3 linked regions of the Diceros bicornis minor genome follow. The protein of the gene in region 2 interacts with the protein of the main gene of each other region in a pairwise test. Links are inferred from orthologs where the notes say so. Each region holds a gene or a part of one and is shown on either strand. Other genes may lie near its edges. The genes, in order: SMAD4, PIAS1 and MX1.

What was found.
Region 1: the proteins of PIAS1 (region 2) and SMAD4 interact in a two-hybrid assay, tested with the Homo sapiens proteins (2 studies listed by BioGRID and IntAct). The link is inferred for Diceros bicornis minor from reciprocal best matches to the Homo sapiens genes PIAS1 and SMAD4.
Region 3: the proteins of PIAS1 (region 2) and MX1 interact in a two-hybrid assay, tested with the Homo sapiens proteins (2 studies listed by BioGRID). The link is inferred for Diceros bicornis minor from reciprocal best matches to the Homo sapiens genes PIAS1 and MX1.

What each region holds. Positions count from the first base shown.
Region 1 is NC_080755.1:43,330,755-43,338,759, forward strand, and holds the start of SMAD4 (mothers against decapentaplegic homolog 4), read left to right. Parts: upstream 1-4,914; 5' UTR 4,915-5,307; intron 5,308-8,005. UniProt on the Homo sapiens protein: In muscle physiology, plays a central role in the balance between atrophy and hypertrophy. When recruited by MSTN, promotes atrophy response via phosphorylated SMAD2/4.
Region 2 is NC_080744.1:61,954,387-61,961,288, reverse strand, and holds the start of PIAS1 (E3 SUMO-protein ligase PIAS1), read right to left. Parts: upstream 3,024-6,902; 5' UTR 2,525-3,023; coding exon 2,492-2,524; intron 1-2,491. UniProt on the Homo sapiens protein: Functions as an E3-type small ubiquitin-like modifier (SUMO) ligase, stabilizing the interaction between UBE2I and the substrate, and as a SUMO-tethering factor. Catalyzes sumoylation of various proteins, such as CEBPB, MRE11, MTA1, PTK2 and PML.
Region 3 is NC_080766.1:41,174,644-41,182,713, reverse strand, and holds the start of MX1 (interferon-induced GTP-binding protein Mx1), read right to left. Parts: upstream 3,030-8,070; 5' UTR 2,981-3,029; intron 2,423-2,980; exon of another isoform or gene 1,073-2,422; intron 1-1,072.

The sequences.
Region 1 (8,005 bases), on a different chromosome or scaffold from region 2:
GAGATGGTTGTGAGAATTGAGATGTTTCTCCTGGAGAAGTCTCAGGAAAAGTGGTAGCTTAGCTCCACTGAAGTGCTCTGGGACTGTGGTCTTTAACACTTCTTGCTTGCTTACCTCCTAAAGAAATTTTAGAAACTATGTTTCTTCTTGTACTTTTAACGGTCAGATCTAAAATGTTTCATCTTAAATTTAAATGATGACAAAGTTTGTTATTTCTGGCATATTATAAGTATTGGAATTTTAAAATAAGATTGTTACATCATTCTTTAAGTGTATCCAAGGGAATGTAAATATCATAATGCATCTACCATCCATTTAAAAGATACATGAACAAGCTTTTCTTTAAAAGAAATTTTACATCACTCTTTTTCTACTTATCTTGTATTTCCTTTCAACTTGCCCCTGGAACATTTTAATGTAAGATTTTAGACTGGAAAGTCTTTTATCAATCAGCCTATCATATTTCCCTATAAAAATTTTTAAAAAATCTTTTGACTGAGTTTCTAAGTTTAAAAAACTCATCTTGATTTTATCATCGATACAATTTTGAATACCTCATTGATCTAAACAACATAAGATATTACAAATTTTGATAAACTATTAAAATTAAAGTGTAGAATATTTTTGCCAGAATGAAATAAGATTAAGAATCAATTCTAGGGGGCCGGCCCCGTGGCTTAGCGGTTAAGTGTGTGCGCTCCACTGCAGGCGGCCCGGGTTCGGATCCCGGGCGCGCATCGACGCACCGCTTCTCTGGCCATGCTGAGGCCGTGTCCCACATACAGCAACTAGAAGGATGTGCAGCTATGATATACAACTATCTACTGGGGCTTTGGGGGGGGGGGAATAAATAAATAATAATAATAAAAAAGAGACCGTGGGAGACCCTCTCAGCTGAAGACCTAAAATATGCCAAAGATATAACATTGTGTGTGTTGTTATGATTCTATTACATATGTATGTAGTCTTACATACACATCATATTTGGAGTGTTTTTGAACTTTATATAAATTGTATCAGATGGTATGTATTCTGCTGCTGCAGAATGGGAGGAGAACTAGAGACAAAAAGTATAGAAAACTCGTTTGGAAGTTTTGTTGCAAACGAAGCAGAGAAATGGGGCAGTGGCTGACAGTGGAATTGGGTCAAAAAGAAGATTTTTGTAGGATTGGAGAAATAATAGCTGCTTATAAGCTTATGGGAATCACCCAGTAGAGAGGGAAACACTGATAGTATAGAAGAGGGGAGATAATTGCTGGAGTGATGCTGATGATCTTGATTAGGCAAGATGAGATTGGGATCTATTGCCTTAGCAGAGGGACTGGCTTTAGCTAGGAGCATGGAAAATTCAACTATGTAACGGAGGGGAAGGTGAAGAAGAGGATTCTGTGGAAGTTTTTGTCTCATTGCTTCAATTTTCTCAATGAAATAGAAAGCAAGGTTATTAACTGAAAATGAGGATAAGAGGGAAGGAGGTGTAGGTTAGAAGACAGAGAAGGTATGAAATCCAGAAGAATGGAGGAGGGAAGTAGGATTCCTGGGCAGCACTAAGGGCTCACTTGAGGTTCACAGTGATAAAATTAAAGTGAAACTAGTCAGTGTAATTGTGTTTTTCTCTAGCCACATTCAGATGCAGCGGTACTGGCGTGGAGTAGGTGGAGAGCTGGCTTGAATCAGAATTGTGGTTTTGTCCAGCAAGCACAACAAAGAGGGAGGGGAGTAAGCAGACTGAGGGTATGTGCAAGAGAATGATTGTAATGATTGGCCAGGGGTTTAAGCTGAGTTAAGGATGGGAGAGAGCGGATACGTAGGTTGAAGAATTGCTGGAGTCAGAGTACTACAAGGAAATATGGAAATATGAGGTGGTGTTCACCATGTGAGATGTTTGACATTGTGATTATAATGAAGTTGCCAAGTTTGATAAGGCTCCTGTAATTATGCCCATGAGAGTGAGTGGCTGAGTTAGGGTAGGACAAGATCTTTGGAGGAGAAGTCAAGGAACTGAGAGGTCAGGGTATTGGGAAGATCATCTAAGTATATATTATAAGCACCTAGAATTAAGACAGAAGTGGTATTGGAGTGACTGATAGGAGCAAACAGTGAAAAAATGAAGGGGAATGAGAGCAACGATGAGGATTACTGGATAACAAGATTTAAAGCTGCAGGTTAGGGGCCGGCCTGGTGGCATAGTGGTTAAGTTCATGTGCTCCGCTTTGGTGGCTCGGGGATCGCAGGTTCGGGTTCTGGGCACGAACTACACACTGCTCATCAAGCCATGCTGTGGCGGCATCCCACATACAAAATAGAGGAAGATGGGCACAGATGTTAGCTCAGAGCCAGTCTTCCTCACACACAAACACACAAAGCTGCAGGTTAAAAGGAAGGGGAGAGGAGGATGGTCTGGAAGCAATGTCAAGGAGCAAGGAGGACACCTACCCCACCTCCAGGCACAGTTGAAGAGGCTTATGGTTGAAAACATAGCTGCCACTACTTGAAAGGGGGAAAGGGAAGCAGTGTCCCGGGGAAAGTCACGTTTTCCTTAAGCAAGAAGGTGAAGGGAAACTGAAGAGAAATTCTGAGGGAGTTGAGTTTAAAGGGATTTTCATTTGCATAAATAAATACATGGTGTGGTGGACACACTCTAATGTAGCTCCATATTATTCCTGCCTCCTGGTGTTCATGCCCTTGTGTGGTGTCCTTCCTTTGAGCGGGGGTGGGACTTGTGATTTGCTTCTGGCCAAGAGTATGGCAAAGGTGACAGGATGTATGTGATTACATGTACGTGCTTATGTTACATAAGACTGTAACTAGGGTCTTGCACTGAGGCTCTCCCCCTTGCTGGCTTTGAAGAAGCAAGCTGCCATATTGTAAGCTTCCCTATGGAGAGGGCCACATGTCAACGAACTGAGGGGGACTCCAGCCGACAGCCAGCAAGGGATTAGGGCCCTCAGTCCTGCAGTCTGCAGGGAACTGAATGCTGCCAACAACCATGTGAGCTTGGAAGTGGATCCTTTCCCAGTCAAGTTTCACTCTGTGATCTTGCAGAGGACCCAGCTAAGCCATGCCTAGACTCCTGACCCATAGAAACTGTGAGCCAATAAATGTGTGTTGTTTTAAGCTGTTAAATTTGTGGTAATATTGTTATATACAACAGATTAATACAGATGGGAATGGAAGAAGTTTAGTTATAGCAGTGTTACTTAATTCTTATAACTCCTTCTGGGGTATATGGCCTAAGAATCACATGTTGATCTATTATCAAATCACCTGGTTAGATCTTCTTTCAATTTTTTTTTTTTATAATTTTATTTATTTATTTTTCCCCCAAAGCCCCAGTAGATAGTTGTATGTCATAGCTACACATCCTTCTAGTTGCTGTATGTGGGACGCGGCCTCAGCATGGCTGGACAAGCGGTGCGTCAGTGCACGCCCGGGGTTCTGAACCCGGGCTGCCAGTAGCAGAGCGCGCGCACTTAACCGCTAAGCCACGGGGCTGGCCCTCAATTTTGTTGATAGCAAAGAACTGGAAACCAGCTGACTTGCAAAAGAACTTATAACTCATTCATTTGGGTCATTCACTTTCTCAGCACAGACACCAATTTTTGAATTGTCCCTTTGAATTGCCGTGGAGGTTTTTACATCTTGGGTCGATACACCTTAGTAATGGGTGTGAGTGTTGACTTTTTTTGTAAGGTGGGAGAAGGACAGTTTTGAAAGAGAATGCTGTGTCCTCAGGTGCTTTCCCAAGCTGAGCAATTTTAGAAAATAGTACATATAGCGGTGGAAGATCTGGAAATGAATTCCCTTAAAACTAGTTTTGGAAGGTCTTCATGAACCCCAGGGGTAAGGGAACATAAGTGAATATGATAGTTTAGAGGCTTTCTGGTAGAAGGGGGAAGAGCCCAGGCTATGATGGTGAGGGCAGCATGGGGCTAGGGGGCGGGGCACTGTGTGTGAAAAGTAGGAGGGGGACTAGAGAGTTTCTGGGCTACAAGACTTAAGAAATGACTTTAGAACTTTCCAATAATTAGTCTTGGTGAGATCTCCAACGGAACTATATCCTGATTGGTGAAAAATAATATATAACTAGTACATGTTTTCTGAAACTTTTTAAATGTAAAAGAAATGCATGCATCTTGTAAAGTTTTCAAAGAAAAGAAGTATAAAGTCAAAAGCACAGTTTATGCCTTTCCTTACCCAACAGGTAACCTAGTTAACAGGTGTGTAGTAGGTCCTCGAAGGTCCCTTCAACTCTGAGGTTCCGCCTAAATCTCTTCCAACAAGAACCACTCACTTTTCCTAAGATCTGGCCAAGCTCTCAAATGTGTGATTCCTTGACTCTACTGTGCACGTCTTTAACCCAAAAGAGGGAGTCTCTTTAGTGTAGATACTTTTGGATCTAGTGATCCAGGGCTAGTGGAAAGGGAAGGATGGTGCGGTGATCGCCAGTTTCTTCCCAAAGTACACCGCTACAGCACCGTCTCCCCAGGGCTAGCGGTTAAAGTCTAATACTTAAGCCCACGCAGGTCCTCAAAAAACAAGACCCGCCTGATCGCTATTTATAAACACTTACTGGATGCCACTATACGCCGAGCTCTCCAGCGATGCTTGGGCACTTTGCACTTTTTTGGAGAGGGATGCCAATTTCTCTGATGACCACTCCCTGCAAACAACCCCCCCCCCCCCCCCGCACCATTGCGCGGCAGCGCGCTCAGCCAGGGCCTCAGCCCAGGCTAGGACTCCGGGCAGCCCGCCGACTGGTGGTGCCCCGCAGGCGCCTGCGCAGAGCTATCCACCCGTCACTAGGGGCGGGAGGCGGGGGCAGCCGGGAGAAAGGAAAGCTGCGGGGAAAAAGGGCCAAACCCTGAAATTACCCGGATGTGGTCTCCGCGCGCGCATGCTCAGTGTCCTTTCGACAAGTTGGCAGCAACAACACGGCCCTGGTCGTCGTCGCCGCTGCGGTAACGGAGCGGCTCGGGTGGCGGAGCCCGCGTTCGCGCCCGCCCGCTCTCCTCGGGAGGCCCTTCCCGCCCTCCCCTCGGCTCCGCGGCCGTCCAGGGGGCGGGAGCGGGTGAGGGGAGCCGGGCGCCCCGCGAGAGAGGCCCCCCGCCGCGGGGCGGCCCGGGAGCTCGAGGCGGCCCGGCCCGCGCGGGCAGCGGCGCGGCCCCGAGGAGGGGCGGCCTGGCCCGGACGCCTCGGGGCGGGGGCCGAGGAGCGCTCCGGGCCGCCGGCGGAGCGACGGGCCCGGCGCCCCGCGGACGAGCCGCGGCGGGAGAGCGGACTCCCCTCGCCATCGCCCGAGCCCAGGTAACTCGCCATGTCCCCTCCCCTTCCCCCGGCGGGCCCGCGCACCCCACCCGCGGCTTCCCCGCCCCGGGGCGGGCTCCCGGCGGCGGGGAGCGCGCGGGAGGCCGGCGGGTCCGCCCGGAGAGCGAGCGCGGCCGCCTGACGAGCCGGGCCGGCGGGTCGCGCTGGGCCGCGGTGCCTCGCGTCCCGCGGGCTCGGGGCCGGCCCTCGGGCCCCGAACTCCCCTCGCAGTTTGTCGCAGAATCAAGTTGAACTGGGACGGGGACTCCCGCTGCGGCCGCCGCTCCTCTTTGTTGTTCTGGAGTAGTTTCCCCGTCCTCCCGGCCGAGCGCGGCGGGGCGGCTGGAGCGTATTGCCTTAGGTCTAGAGGAAAGTTATAGATGGTTGGTCTTGATTTCTTTTCTCAAGCAAATTTTTGTTTTCTCTTTGTCCCTTACTTTCTCTTCCTGGTTGTGTCATTCCCGTGTATGTTTCTGGCTTTGATTTGTTTACTTACATTTTGAGTATTGTGGGTGATGGCAGTATGCAGGAAACATTCTTAGCACCTAACTGACCACCCCCCACCCCGCCCCTAATAAAAAAGAGAAGACATAGTTTATCTTATTGCTAGGACTACAAGTACTGAGTGAGATTGGTGTAGGGTGGAGGGCGGTGGCTCCATCACATTCCCCAAACTGCTGTTATGGTTTCTCAAGCTAGATTTTCAAAGAAATGGGTGTGTTTTGTTAACTTGAAAGATTTCTTTGCGGGTATAGAGAGGTTTTAAACAACCCTATTGAAAATTGGTAGCTAGTTTCCCCCTGAAAAGCCAAGTAAAATTTTTTTAAATGAATATATTTCTAATTAATTTATTTTGAGTTTAGTTTTATAATGCCTTTAGCTGTTGCACCATAGTTTTAGGTGAAACTACCAGTTATTTAGGAATAATACATATAAGGTAATGGGGAATCATTTTAATTAGTCTGTATTGACTTTCTGAAGGCATGTAATCTTGGCCAATTTTTGTTGGCAAACAACTTGACAAACTTTGACTTTTGCCAGAATTAGCATCCTTTTAGTGTCAGTAGCCATTTGATTATTCGGGTGTTTCAAAAGCAGGTTCAGTACTTTTTGCTGGAAGAAGGCATTTAGTGTTAATAGAAAATACAGAAATGCTTATTTTCATAAAGTAATTAGGTTTAGAACGTTGCATTTGAATAATTTTAATTGCAGATTTCATAAATTGCTTTTACCGTGTTGTACTGAGACTGTATTTCAGTTGAAATGTAGCGTGGGAAGTTCTAACGTGTGTAACTTTTTTTTTTTCCTGCTAAGGATTTATTTTCTCTTTTGGAAAGTTCTAATATGGTTAGTACATGATATTTCAAGTTGTAAATGATTGATATAATTAACATTTTAAAATCTGATTTCTTATTAATGTTTCTTCTATAACGTCGTCATGATTTTGTTTTTTTAAGTGGGTTTGTTATAGCACAAATGTAATACAGGCAGGCCAAGGATTTAAGATTTGGAGTATCTTTAGGTCTAAAGGTGGTGATGAATTATGTAGGTTTAAGTTGTTGGAATTAAAACTAAAAGCCTTTCTAGAGAAAATTGATATAACATTTTGTGAGTCTATTAATAGAAGTGGCTTTTTCTTTGCTTTCCAGGTTTTTGGGTGAGGTTACTTTAAAGAGGTATTGCATCTTAATTTTTTTTGTTTTTGAAGTGGGACTGCCTAAGTAGAAATTTCTCTGTTTAGCTAAGTGCCTTCCTTGTAAACCTTGAGCTTAGAAAACAACTGCAATTAGTTTCAGATTTAATGAAAATTTGTGCTGAGAAAGTCACTTAGAAATTTTTGGGAATAAGTTATATGTGGACCATGGACCTTTTCTGATGGCTTTGCTTCTTGAAGCAATTCTGCTTATCCTGGGAAGCAGCAAGTCTTATTTCTAAAAACCAGCGCTTCACTTTCTTAAGCTACATTTTAGTTGAGCTGTTTCTCCATTTGTGTGAATTCTTTTTCTTCGTTGCCCTTCAGATTTTTTTTTCTCTCAAATTAAAGAGCAAGTATTAAAAACTAGTTTATGCTGCCCAGTCACACTCCAGCTCTCCAGTTTGGAAGCTGTTTTTTCTGATTGAGCCAGTGTTATAGTAACATCATTAGACACTATTCTAATTGAGCTGTGAATTGCTGAGGCCTCTACTGGGGCAGTTAACCCTACAGGATCTGTCTCATGCATTACATATAAAATGCATATTTAGTCTTATCTAAAATTTTGCCTATTCTGGTGAAGCATACTTTATTTTTCTTATGTTTAAACTTTACTTATTTCAGTTCTATTTTATCCGCCTCTAGCTCATGCCTAACTTTTTTTCATTTTTCTTTCAGTGATTTTAGAGTGAATGGTTCTTTAAACATCTTATGTTAGCACCATTTCAGTGCTCATTGTACATGTTTGGATTTCCTTTTTTGTTTTTTTCCTAGAAGATTGTGTAGTTAGAAATTTTTGTTTTGCTTAAGTGATGATTAACGGTGACTCTGAGGTGTTGCTTAATCATGTATAAAACCAACCTGACTAAAACTATTTTATGGATTTCATTATTTTCTACACTAAATGAATGTTAAAGAAGTTAGATAAGCATAGCACAGAATTTAATACAATTTTGTTAAATTATCAAATTTTGGGCTTTTTGCTCAACAGTTGATGAAGATTCT
Region 2 (6,902 bases):
CAAAAAAAATCCTAATGGGGCCAGCCCGGTGGCATAGCGGTTAAGTCTGCATGCTCTGCTTCGGTAGCCCAGGGTTCACCAGTTTGAATCCTGGGCGTGGACCTACACCATTCGTCAAGCCATGCTACGGTGGCAACCCATATACAAAATAGAGGAAGACTGGCACAGACATTAGCTCAGCAACAATCTTTCTCCAAAAAAAAAAAAAAAAAAGACAATAAATAAATATACAAACTGTGTTCTAAAAAAAAAAAAAATCCTAATGATACAATTTGTTCCATAAATGCAAGTGTAGGTGAGGACCAAATTTAACATGTCAATGTCACACCCTTAATTTCATCAACTGTTCCTTCTACAGTGCAGTACTTTTCAGATGCTGCACAAATAATATCCTTAACTCAATTCACATATGCATTTATTAATTGATTTAATCCATAAAGCTTCCTTCTTGAAATAGAAGAATGTTTTCATTGCCTATGTAACCTCCATTCTATAAAAGCCTCCTCGAAACAATGTTACCTACCAAATACTATGGCAACACTTTGCTTTGAGATTAAAAATCTGAGTAAGGCAAATTCTCATATCCACTTTCTTCATATTAACATTCAGCAATGCTTTTTTCTTAACGCTAATTAAAAACAGATGAGCACATAAACTTGCAATATTTGTTACTGTGTTATAATTTCCAAAATCAAACATACTCAATATAAATTATACATGTTATTCTATAATATATTTCATACTTTATCAAATGTTCTGATTCAGAAGCAATGTTTACTTACATTTTATAAACTCTATCTCTGCCATAATTCAATAATCTTATCTGACAGGTTTATAGAAACTGAAACAATAAAGGTATAGACAATGAAGAAATAAAGAATTAACTTATTTCACTCACAACACTTCATGTAATCAAAATACCATTTGTATTGCTCTCTGAAGCACAAAAAAAGTTCTGTCATATCAATATATTTAGTTAGAATAAAACATTTGCTAACTTTTGTATCAGGCTGTTTGTCAAGAAACTGTTTAAAATAGCAAAAAAGTGGAAATCATCTAGTTGTTCAATGACAAGAGACTAGTTGAATAAAATACAATGTTACCTTTCAAATGATCATATAGACCTATATTTACTACCTGGAAAGGCAGCCAAGAAAATAGCAGATTACAAATAAAGAGTAGTATGATCCCTTTTTGTGATGAACATACATACACGTATGCTCACAGAGAGATGCTCACAGAGAGACAGTCTAAATGGACAGACACCCAGATGTTAACCATGAGATTTCTAAATGCTGGGATTACAGGTGCTGTTTATTTTTCTGCTTACTTCTCAGTATTCTCTGAAATCTTCCCAAGCAAAATTATATTTGCATGAATTAATGTCTATGATTCCAACTAACAAACTCCAAAATCTTCCTTGCAAAAAGCCCAAGGAATATCCAAAAATACCCTGGCATAGAGCAAGAGGGAAAGTATTAGCAACAACATAACTAGAATTCTTTGTGAGCAAGGCACCCTAGAGAGCTCCAGGACTGACAGGGCACCTTTAAGGCAGCCTACAGTACAAAGTTTTGAAATCACAAGACCTAGGTTTAAGTCTCTGCCACTTTTATTTATATGACCTTGGACAAGTCACTTACCCTTTCTGGGCTCACTGCATGGATAAAAAGGGAGATATTACCTGCCTTTTATACCTCAAAGAACTGTTAGGAAGACCAAATGAGATAATGTGATAGACTATGAACTGTCAAGTACTGTATAAATATTACTCAAATATTAAAAAAAGAAATAACAAGGTGCTTAATGCCACAGAATACTTCAGAAAACACTACAATCAATCCTATGAAGTAATCAGGAGTTTTGTTTGTTTTTAAAGGCTACATTCATCATAAACACCCAGTTTTTCAGAAACTTGAGATACTTCCTCTCAGTTCCCCCTACAACCACGAGCCATTTTATTTTCTTATCCCTAGTTACCAGCAAGAAAGGGCACAAATTACACTAAACTCAAAACTCTCAGCAAGAACCCTGGAGCAGCATGCTGATGGAGTTCACCAGGAGAAACCCAAGGTTAATCAGCTATGGCCTCACCACTCAGCACTACCGCAATCAACAGGGATTACAAGAGACTCTTTGAAGAGAAAGACAATACAATCAGCCAGAGAAAACGGCGGAGGAAAAGGCGGAATTTCCAAACAATTATATGAAATGCTTAAAAACTGTGTTTTATACAATGTTTTCAAATACTGTTCATAAGAATGGTGACTTAAAACAAAAGCCATCTAAATGTGGCACTTGACAAAAGCAAGTTATGGAGATTCAAATCAAATTTGTGAATAAATTGTCAGATTTACTTGCTTCTATCTGAAATAAAAGCAAACAATGACACCACAAAGAGCAAAATTAAGTGGCTATTTCTTGAAAATAAAGAGGCAGAATATGACAACAGAATTTACTGACACGCTTATAGATACTTTTAAAACTATACTTTTAAGCGGTTTCTCTTCCCATTGAAATCCATTATTTGCTCCACTGAAATGAAGAACTTCTTCCTTCCCACTCTTCCTCCTGTGAGTTAAAATGGCAATACAACTTGCTTTGAGTTTTAAAGCAAAAAACATTTGTGATTTTTTTTTAAAAAAGTACTTTAAGAGGAGCTACATGAAGCTGTCAGATTATTAACTTCCAAGATCATCTGGTCATCACACCCTCCTGCTTTTAAATTCCTAAACATAACAAAAAGTTCACTCTCTACATTCTTACAAATGTCATTTATGGGTATATAAACAAATATACACCGAGAACTCTTTTTGATATGCATGACTCTTAATCTAATTTTTATTGGCAATATCTTTAAGTGTTGCAGCTTGCACTAATACTACAGGGGATACAGATCTATCCATTTTCCCATCTGATCTTTGCAGATTTGTTATAGATTTACAAGGACTCAAAAATGGACCATGAGGAAAATAATTATGAATACAATCCACAGCAAAATGAAACATGGGTTGTGAATTAAGATACCAAAAAAGTCAATGTATTTATTCAAAGCCTCATAGTTGGAAATTCATTGGAAGTACCGTATTTTCACCTAAAACTTTAAAAAAATCTGGGTTTTTCTTAATTCTTACTCTTTTCCTACCTTATTAGGAATAAATGCTATTTACCTCCAAAAACCACAAACAAAAAACCACCAGAAAATACAATTTCCAAAAGCAGTATCTTCCAAAGCTTACTGCACAGAAAATTATATACACACATTCTCAAATAACTAAGGTAGGGGTTCCTAAGATGATCTCCCCACTCCAAAAAAAAGAACAGCAAATCTAACCACAATCAAGTATTAACAAAAATTTTAACACAGCTATCACCAGCTAAGCAATTTATCACACCTCCTCAAAGTACTGGGCACACACAATGACAGACCTGAATGTCAAAACAGTTATTATAATTTGAAAAAAATGTACAACAGGAACATAAAAGTAGAAAACAACTCCTCTGGAAAAACTCAAGTAGATTTTGGAAAGAGCAAAAAAGGAGACCAATTTTAGAAAAATAATCTTTCCCCCAAGTTCTTAGCGTTTATCTGATACAGGCTCATTTTAGCAAACAGAAACTTTACCTAACAAGACTCACACCAGGGATCTGATCTATCCCTAAAGGCACTTTCTTAAAATGAGAAAGAACAAAGGAAGAAATCTCCCAGCATGTGCTTTCCACATCAGTTTCTTTGGACAGCATCAAGAGTGACAATATAGCCAGCACAAGCTTTTCAGCTTTACTCTGTGGTCCCCGTATAACAGAACTGATTACCTATCATTCAAAAGGATGCCTAACAAAATAAATATTAGAAGGCAAAGATTACAGCCACATAGGGACTACATTTCAAGAATAAAACTATAGAAAACATGTATCTTAAAGTTGTGGACTTTTTTATTTCAAGAGTTAATTACCTGCCAATATTCAAATTCTTGAGGCTTTTTCACTTCGGTCACTAGTTTGAAACAGGAAAAAACGAAACCAACCATCCTAAATCTGCTCTCCCTTAAATTTATTTGTAATTAGCAGTAAATTTAAAAAGAACGACACTCAAAGCCAGCGCCTTAATATACAAATTGTGGAGTGTTAAAATTGCAAAATTACTGGGGGAAAACGATCTTTCAGCGACGCTTTCCACAGAAAAACTCTCCAGAAACAAACCTGGCGTTTGGTTATTCTAGAAGTTGTCGCTTCATTATAACGGAGAAAATTTTTTACACAATTTTTATTAATTATAAAAAGAGGACTCTCCCCGAAGATTTACAACTGTATATCCCAATCTCCACTCTGACAGAGATGTCAGTTCTCTGGGTCAGGACACAACCAGCTGCTTGGATCACACACAGGAAGCCACAGAGTAGGGAATATCGCATTCAGAGCCTCGAAATAATACGCGTTAGTTAAAAACTGCTTGCTACTAAACCAAAATTATTCAAGCGGAGCCCCATTTGTCACAATCCAATCACAAGGGTTCCACCCTCCTCCCCCAACTGCTTGTGTAGTGCTATATCTGCCTCGGTAAAGAAGCCATCATCAGGTAAAGAAGATTGGGGCGGGAGGATGAGCGGGGAAAAGGGGGCACCCTTTCATCCAATTTCGCGAGGCGTGAGTAATTGGCACAGTTGAGAGGAACGGAGGAACGTTCTATTTATTGGGGGTTGAAGTAGGATGACGGGAGAATTTCGTTCAAATCAACATGGCCAGCAAGATGTCCCCACAAACAAAAGGCAACGGGGGGATATAAACACGAACCATTCACCTCCATCAGCTACAGCATCGCCATCATGGTGTGTGCAGAGACCCCGACAGGCTCCTCTTACCCTCCGCACCAGCCAAAGGAAGAGAAGGAAAAGAGGAGAGAGGTAGGTGCTTCCCACCACCCACCACTGCTTCCCAACACACACCCTTCGAGGGGGTTTCTACCCCCCGCTTACCAAGAATCAGAGAGAAATAGTAACGTCCCGCCCAGGCACACCCCCCCGCTACCCCTCAGCCGAACCCCAACGCCGGCCCGAGGCTCACTAAACTTTCCCGGAGCTTCTCTTCACATCCCCACCCCATCGCCCCAGGATCGCGCTGCGCACAAGCGGGGCACCCCGGGCGCCTCCTGACAGGCAGGCAGCCGGGGAGAGCCGAGTCCGGGGCGGGGGCCGCAGGGAGCCACGGAGGGGCGGGGCGGCCGGAGCCAAGTTCCCGGGGGTCTGAGCCGAGCGCCTGACAGGAGCCCGGGACTGCAAAGGAGGAAGAGGAAGCGGCGGCGGGGAGCTTTCCCAATCCCCCCGACACGAACACCCTGCCCTAGCCCCCGCTCCCCATGGGGGGGCGGGGAGGCTGCCTAGAAGGTGAGCACGCCGAGACCCGGGGGCGGCCGCGGCCCCCACCTCCCCACTGGCGATCTCTTCCCCCGCCTCCCCCGCCAGAGGCGCCCACAACAATAACACGCCGGGGACGACCCGTCAGCGCCCCCGAGGCACCCGGGGCCCGCGGCCCGCCGCTGCCGGGCCCCCTCAGCTGGGGCCGGGCGCGCCGCTCCGCCCTACAACTCCAGGCCTGGATGGAGTCAAGCCCGAGCGGCCCCCCAGGGTCGGACCCATCCCCCTCGGCACCAGCGGCGCCGTCTCCGCGGCCGAATATTAGAAGTGAATTCGAGCTGCGCTTTACCTTTAGTTCCGCACTGTCCGCCATCTTGCGTCTGTCAGCGCAAGCGCAGTGAACCTCGCCGGGGGCCGCCGCTAGACCCGCCCCTCTAGCCAGCCTGGCCCCGCCCCGGCCCGTCCCCTCTCGCCCCTCCGCCTCCTCGGCCCGCCCCCGGCCTCCGCCTCGCTCCGGGCGCTCGGAGCCCCGCCCTGGGCACGTACAGCTGCGACACGGACACGTACTATTTAAATAATGGCGCCAAGCGGAGAGATTTGACAGTTACTCCCTCCTAGGCCTCCCCGCCCCCCATCCTCGCCCGGCTAGCGCCTCCAGGGAAAGGCCGGAGCGGGAGGGCTGCTGGCCTGAGCCCCGCCCCTCCGCAGGCACAGGGAACAATAATACGCCCTCCCCCAATCAGCAAGTCCTTTTCAGCACCTGCTACCTGCGAGGCTACACGTGGGCTAAAAATAACAATCAGTTACATTTAAGAATCACTTGATGAAGTATTTCCAGGTTTATTAGCTCAGATCCTCCTCATGACAACGCGGTGAGGTAGGCAGGGAAGAGACTACTGTTCCCGTGGTATATATTCAGGAATAAAGCTCAGAGAGGAAAAGTGACTTGCACAAGCAAGTACTTAACACGAGTGGCCTAAGACAAAATTCTGAAAACTTTCATTCATTAATTTCTTTGTTTCAAGTAATTATTTAGTGACTTTGTACCGGCCCTGTTTCTAAGGGCTATATATACACTGGGAAACTAAATACAACCAAGTCCTTGCCCTCCTGTAGTTCTGTAATGGGGGAACAGACACGCGAACCTATAAAGATACAGTTACAAAGGATGATGAGTACCTGAAAAGCATGAACCGTCCAGTGAGAGAAAAAGGGGCTGGGAGGAGATGTACTTAATCCTGAGAGAGCTTTCGCCTCTAAATTGACATTTAAGTAGACGTGATGAAAGAATTATTTGACACCTTTTCCTCTCTACTAAAAGCCTCCTATCTCCTCTCCAACCCCACTTTTTGCTCCTCAACTTTGCCTCATATCTCATGGAAAAAATTAAAAGATAACAGATAACATGAACTCCCTTATCTTCTCACCGTCAAAACTACTCTTATTGGCGTAGTAACATTTGAGTTACTATGAATGAAGTGTCCTTGTGCCTGTGAAGGTCAGTCCCTCCACCAGTGACCTGGATTCCTTTGCCTCCCACATTCCTAA
Region 3 (8,070 bases), on a different chromosome or scaffold from region 2:
GGATAAAGAAGATGTGGTATATATACACAATGGAATACTACTCAGCCCTAAAAAAAGACAAAATCGTCCCATTTGCAACAACATGGATGGACCTGGAGGGTATTATGTTAAGCGAAATAAGCCAGACAGAGAAAGACAAACACCACATGATTTCACTCATATGTGGAAGATACACTAACACACAGACAGAGAGAACTGTTTGGTGGTTACCAGGGGCAAGGTGGTTGGTGGGTGGGCACAACGGGAGAAGTGAGGCATTTATATGGTGACTGACAAACAATAATGTACAACTAAAATTTCACGAGGTTATAAAATATTAAGACATCAATAAAAAAAGAAATGGGCTTAAAAAAAAAAAAAAACATGGTTTGGAATCTGTGAATTCTAAAGGGTTGAGGAAAGGCAAAAGTTGAGTCACCCCAGAGGGACACTTCCAGACTCCGGAGCTCACATATGGAGCTCCCTTGGAAGACAACCGTTGCCAAGATGAGCTAGAATCAAAAACACAAGCCATCTACCCTGATAGGAACAGTCAGGAGGCGCAGTAACAGATGACTTTACAGCTACAAAACTCAGATAACAGCACTCTTGAAAAACAAACAAACAAAAACAAAAGGGAGAGAGGGATGCATTCCTTTCTTCATAAAATGGGAGAAAGGTGATTTTGAAAGGTGATCAATTTAAAAGAGTATTTACAGAATTTGGCAATCTGGAAATTTATGTCCTAACCCCCCTCATGCCTTTGGAAAGACTCATGTGCCCAGGGGGTCCCAGGCGGGGGCCCCGAGTTGAAGACCACAGCTGTGTCAGTTGGCCTTACTGCACCCAGCCAGGTAGCATCACTGGTCTCCAAGGCTTGCACCCCCATGACCAGGGGTTCAAGATGAGTCAAAACAAGACTTTGTGAATGTATTCCCTTCCTTTGTTTGTTTTGTAAAATGACATCCCCTAAAAGCAAAACTTGTTGGTTTTCTGTACATCTTAAATGTTTGTACCTTTCTTGGATCATCTTTGAAAATCAGTTTGGATTTCAGGAACAGGGCAATCTCAGCCACTAAAACCAGTTTCTTACTTGTTCATTGTACTCAGCATCCAGCTGCAGTTGTCATGCTGATAGAATATGTTGGCCCAGTGTTGGCCGTGGTACAGTCAAGCAGCGGTGACTATGAGCTCTCAGCCTCAAACTGCTCACAAAATGTCTCACCCGTACCTGCGTTTGCAGACAAGACTGCAGGGAAATTCGAGGTGGGCACACCACCTTAAATCTCTCTCCTTTCCAGCCCTCATCTTCCTGACTATTGCACACCCCCATCGGTCATGGGTGGGGTTACTGTACCGGGCTCTTCTCTCACTCCTAAGGTTGGGGTAGGGAGGGGAGAAACTGCCCAGGTGCAGGGGCTCTTCCCATTCTTGCCCAGGGCAGGTCTGTGTCCCCTCAAGTTCTCACTGTCCGTAGAGGTGGCTGGCTGGCTGCCTCCTCCACTCCAGATTTTAGGGAGTAGTAGTTTGCCTGTGGCTTCCAGAACTGGATGCCGTCTATTAGCAGTGTCACTGGAGAATCCTTGCAGTGGGGGGTGTGGCTGACATCAAACTGCTGCCCAATGGGTTTCCATCCTTGTGGGAAAGCTTCCTCAGCCCAGACGGCATAGAAGAGCAGGGATGGGAGGGGGGATTTAGCGCCCCCCAACCCCTACAAGCACAACCCCTAACCCTGGGATCACCTACAAGCACATCCTAGAGAATGTCTGATTCATAGAGTCTGTAATTTGTCCAACATAATTCAGTCTAGTTTTAAGAATAATCCTTGAAGGATTTAGATTTGCTTTTTCTCCTGAAAGTGTTTTGCCTTCCAAAAGCCCAGTGACATTTAAGTTTTTTACGATTAAAAGGGAAAACATCTTGTACTTTAGACCTAATGCTCGCTACCAAAACACACTGAGTGTCAGGAGGCAGGGAGAAGGGAAGTCAGGAAGAAAATGGGGCGCACGTCCACATGGAAAGGCTGGGGGACTCCCTGCCAGCAGGTCTGTTCCAAAATAGAAAGAGGACACGGTTAGACATTTTAGGAGTTGTTGGGGACTGATAACTGGAGGTTAGCATCACTTGACCCTGCTTCCACCAACTTGATTTAAAATTTGACCAAATAATTCCGAGAATCCCACGTGCACAACTCAGAGGCCACCAGCGGTGGGGAGCACAAATCTCAGCAGTGCCTGGGTTCCTTCTGTCAGTCCCCAGGACTGTCCTACCTCTCTCCATCCCCCCAAACTATGTGTGTCCGGCCCACTCAGTGGCACCCAAGCGCACAAGCTAGGGGGAAGTCGCTGAGTATTTCCCCTTCCGGCCGGAAGAGAGAGGGGTGCAACACGCATGCCTCGTCTCTCCCACCAGCCCCTCCTCCCGTCTGCGCGACTGTGGTACCCAGAACGTCCTCGCCAGGCGGGACCGTTCACTTGGACCTGCCTGTATTTAGCAGGTTCGGTGAAGACCCCTTGTCTCTGCACTTCCAAGGACCCCCCTCCCCCGACTGTTGACTTGTCTGGTTTGCCTCCCTAGCAGAAAATATAAAATGACGTCAAGCGATAGTCGGCGTCTGGGGTGGGCTCGGAGGCCACGCAGCAGTGGATGCGAAACTTTGTGCGCCCCCCCTTAACCGGCTCCCTCAGAGACCCCCAGGGCCCCCATCCCCTCCACCGTGCCACTTCCTCAAGCAGAAAAGCCGTAGGTCTGGGGGGCTGTTTTTGATGAGTCACTCAAGAACCTTGCAAGTAGAATCAAGCGTGCTCTGAGCCCAGCCGACATCGCCATTATTATTATTATTATTGTTATTGTTACTATTATTATTAATTATTACCTAATACTAGCCCCTGCAATGCCCACACCCCGGAGCGCTGGTCTCCGCAGCCAGCCGCCCAAACGCCCCTCTCGGAGCCCCGCTGGCCGGCTGGAGAGTGCGCAGACCCAGGAGCGCGACACTCACCTGTCCCCGCGCAGCGATGAGCGCCGGACGCCCGCCGCTCCTCTGCTTTATACCGCGCGGCGCCGCCCGCCCCCGGCCGCGGGGAAGCGAAACTCAGGGGACGCGAGGGCGGGAGAGCGGAAGGGCCGGTGGGGCAACCGGCCGCAGAAACGAAACCGAACCGCTGCTCGCCCCTGCGCCCCGCGCCCAGCTGCAGCCTCCCCGAGGCGCTCCACGTGTGCGATCCCCACCAGCAGCATCCGCATCCCTGGGAGCTTGAGGGAAATGCAGATTCTCGCCCCCCACCCCCCACCCCTCCCCAGCACACCTGCTGAACCAGAAACTCGGACTCAGGGCCCAGCAACCTGAGTTTTATCAGGCCCTTCTGACGATTCTGGGGGCAGTTTGAGAATCGTTGCTCTAACAGCTTCGAGTCATCCAAAGCTGAACGTAGCGTTGACCCTAGCGGGTCCCTTAACCCCTGGCCTTCTGAACAGATGCACTGATAATTGGGTGTCTTAAATTCCTGCTGGAGGTTCACTGGGGTCATTGGGGCACCAGCAGGGATTCTCAAGCATTCTATGTTAATAGCAGCTCCCCCCTCCCTCCCCCTCCCCAAGCTGACCCACATCATCCTCCTTCCCAATTCTCCTTGTCCATTTCAAGCCCTCCCTGGAGGTTGGCTCATCTGATTTCTCCAGGATGGAAATGGGTGGAAGGTGGGGGCCTGAAGTCACGCAGACACAAGAGCAGCCCTCCCTGTGGGGACTCTGTGCATGGGGAATAACACTTCCCTTTGGAAGGGCCTGGTACCCCACCTCCATTCTCCTTAGCTCAACTCAGAGTCCCTGAAGACAAGCCCCCACCCCACTCAAAGGCCTGGAACCTGCCCCAGCTCCAAGTTCTAGAGTCAGGGAAAGCCTGGGGGGAACCAAATTCAATATGGCTGCACCAAGAGACGAGGAGGAGGCCCCACAGCCAACTCCCTGCCTGGCCCGAAGTCACCTGGCTCTGCAGAGTCCATTGCTGGGGTCTGGGTGATCCCATCCAGGGTGGCCTGGTGGGAGGACACAGGCTCTCCCAGGAATTAGAGAGAAACCTTTGTCGGCTACTCACTCCTCTGGGCTTCAGGTACTTGCAGTTAGGAGGAAGAGTGACATCTTTTCCTGGTGGGCTGTGAGCAGGAGGGGTTAGAGCTTTCTGAAGGAGTAGAAGTGCCCCTGAAATGCAGGGGGAGCTGTGAGCAAGGCATGCGTGGCCCTAATACTCAACTCTGTGGAATGATCCTGCCTCTTCAGACCACAGGAGGCTCTCCCCAGTGACGCATGTTCAGGAATGAATTCAGACAGAGCCATGGGCAAAAGTGAAAACAAGGCGTGGCCACAGCCTGTGCCAGGGCCAGGATGAGGGCAAGGTGAGCGAGGTGGCTGTGGGGCCAGAGTGGAGGAGCCGGGCACTCTCTGTAGGCGTAAGTGCCCTTAAATTTGGTGCCCCCGACACTTCACAAGGCTACCCCTCTCACCTCCCAGCCTGAGACTTTTGGTAGCTCATTGTTTCTACTTTGCAAGTTGTATGGCAGTTCCCTAAAGAGCCCAGGGGCTTGTCTGTGGTGTGATTCAGTAATAAAACAATAATAGCTCATGTGCACTGGGTAATAGTATGTGTTAGGTGCCAGCTTGAGAGAATAACTCGCCTTCACAACCACCCTGTGAGGGGGTAAGATTATCACTTGCACTTTACGCACGAGGAGACTGAGGCTAAGGAGTTAGCTTATTGCTGGGTCCCGTAACTAGGAAGTGGGATAGCTAAGATGGCAGATATAGGTTTTGATCCCTGAGCCTGTGCTCTGTAGCATCTTCTCCCCACACTAAAATTGACAAGATGCGGTTCCTGTCAGGAAGCTCATAGCCTCCCATCTGAATTGCTGACGATTCCTTCTCTCCTCAAGAAATATTGATTACTCTATATTCTACGAAATAAGTTTCAAACTCTTAGCTCTTGAGGACTGTCCTCCAGGCTCAGCATCCCCACTCACCATCCCTGAACGCAGCCAACACCTCTGCTGGCCTGTCCTCCCCCAGGCTTCCGGACACATTTGCCTCCTCTGCCAAGTGCTAACGGGGATGTTCTCTGTCTGTACAGCTGCCCCTGGGAGCTCCTTCCAAACCTGGGTCCTGTCTCTTCCGGCCCCCCATCGCCTTAGCTCTGGCTAAGATGCTCTGGATCTCAGGTGGATGTTCTGGATACTGGGGGATGTGGCCACCTCCTTGATGAAGGTGTCAACTCCACGAAGGCAGGCTGAGGTCTCATCAAGTTTGTATCCCTCCGGTGCCTACCACCTACCGACAGCAGGTGCTCAGTAACCGTGGGCTGAATTTAACTGGACTGATGTGCCCAGCCACCTCGGCCCCTGGGGCTCCCATCACGGCCCGGCCCAGCCCTGTCCACTTACTAGTGTTCCTATCTCCATCAAAACGTATCTGATAAAAACACAGCATCCACACGGATGCATATTAGTGGCCAGACAATCCCACTGACCCCAACCCCTGCTGCCTGTGCAGTCATGGGTGCCCAGGGCTCTCCAGGTCTCCTGGTCTTTGTCCAGCCATCTCACACCTGCCTGGCCTGGCCCAGACTTGCCAGAAGAGCTGAGCTGGTGTTGATGGAAAGCCATGCCTGGCAAGCTTCCAGGCATCCATGCTGTTATGAGAGGTTCGGGGATTCAATCGGAGACGTAAAAGAAACTTTCCACTCCAAACAATTGGACTGAAGGTATATTTTATTATATAGAGGATAGTAAAGGCGATAGTCCACAAACAAATCCAAATAGGTCAAATAATAAGAGGGAAAAAACACCAGCTCAACTGGAAAGGGAAAACATCCACATCGGCTGAGATAGCAGCAGATCCGAATAGGTCATATAATAAGAGGGAAAAACATCAGATGGATCGGAAAGGGAAACACCAGATCAACTGAAGGGAAATGACACAAATCAACCGGAAAGAGAAACACCAGGTTGACGGGAAAGAGAACACATCAGATCAATTACTTCACAGTAAATCAATTACTCACAACATCCACGCCTCACTGCCGGGAGAGTCCTGTCAATCGACACGGCTGGGCAAGGATCACACGTCCTGGGCAAGGCGTCCCTTCCACAGGTGGAACTCTCACCGGGTCTCAGTCTCCAGCAGTTTATATAAGCAGTTACAGAGTTTGCAGAGCAAGCATCTAGTGTTCCCATGCACAAATGGTTATCAGTGGCGTACGTGCACTGAGCCCCTTGGCTAACGTCCCAGCCCAGTAATTGTGTACGTGCATTGTTCTTTTGGTTGTCGTCTTAGCCCGGCACAGATGGCCAGTCCATCCCGTGCTACAATGCTCCAAGAGCCTTGAAATGTTACAACTTGCAACTCTCTCCGTGGGAGAAGGGCCAGTTCCCACCACGCAGAAAGCAGCTTTTATATTTCTTTTTGTGCTGGTGGCTGTAGGTCAATGGAGCGGCCCAACATGGCTGTACTCATGTCAAGACACATGCCTACCTCCAAACAAGTGCACTTGCTTAAACACTGTGTGAAGTGGACAGCACCCCAATTCAGTGCTGCAGGGCACCCCACCGGCAGGGGTGGGAGGGGCGGAGTATTCCAAACTGCTCAGCTTGGTGTGCAGGGCCTGCGTGTGCCCAGCCTCACCTCTCCCCACCCCCATGGCTTGGATGTAACACCCTCCACACTACCCGAACTTCCCCCAGCTCAGGGCTGCTCGTCCTCCTACAAGTGCGGGCCGGGCTTCTTCCCATAACACGGCCTCCCTCCGTCCTTCTCCAGGCCTAGTGGACCTGCTTCCTGGGAGCCCCACGCTCCCCGCCCCGCCCACGGACCATGGCCGCATCACACTGTCTTGGCCTCTGTGAACACCCGTTCTGCCACCAGGCTGTCAGCTGGGCGGGACCAGGTCCGTGGTGTTTGCTGTTGTACTTGAGATCCAGCACAGTTCCTGGTATACAGTGTTTCAATAAATGTTTCTAGAATGAATGAATGAGTGAATGAATGATGAGTCGGAGGACTGGCTCGGCTCTTGCAGACGTGGTCCTCCGGTGACCTCTGGAGAGTGACCCTAAGCCACTCAGTTTCCTTCATTATCTCCTCCCCGCCTCTCCTCCGGATGTCGCGTTTCCCAGTCAAGGCAGGTTTGGTTTCGGTTTCTTTTCTCCGCCTCAGCTCGCAAAAAACGAAAGTCAGGCGGCGCGATTCTCGGTTCTTGAATCCAGGCCTGGGGGAGGAGAAGGGGGCACCCGGAGGAGGAGGGGGCAGTGCCGAGGGGAGGGGGCGGAGCCAAGAGGGGCGGTGCTAAGAGGAGGAGGGGCCGGTGAGGGGCGGGGCCCGGAGGAGCAGGTGCCGGGAGGAGCTGGCAGAGGCCGGGGGAGGCTCTTGGTGTGCCCTGCCACTTGGACGTGGGGCGGAGCCTGGACGCAGTTTTGCCCTTTGGGGTGGGGGAGGGGGGCACGCGGGACTGCGGGGCAGCCCCGGAACCCGCGGGGTAACGTGTCCACGTCTGACGCCGTCCAGGCCAAGGGTCGGGGCAGCGCGCCGTCTGTCCCGCCGGAGCGGGAGTCTAGGGTCCGAGGTCGTTTGCCCCGTTTCGTTTTCTCCGCTGTGCTTGTGACATAGACTCGTGCTTCTCAAAGGGTGGTCCCCGGACCAACAGCATTGGCTTCACCTGGGAGCTGGTTAGCAATGTGGGGTCTGGGGCCATCCCAAGACCATCCCAAATGCAGGACTCAATCTGCGTTTTTAAGAGGATTCTCCAAGTGATTCGTTTGCAATTCAAGCGTGAGAGCCTGGCGCCTGCAGGTTGCTATTTATCTAGTCCTCTAGGTCAAGGCCAGGGTCCAGCTGAGAGCCGTGCCTCCAGGGGACAGATACTGAAAGTCTGGTGGAGCTGAGCTGTTGGCTCTGGGCCCTGGCCTGGTGTACACGTCGCCAAACCCGGCGCAGTCACTGGGGAAGGTCGGTGGCCATTGCAAAATCATTTTTCTAGGATAGGGCCAGCTGTCCCTCTGGCATTCATCTGGTGATCAGCACTTTGTGCAAGTTTATTTTTCGGATAGG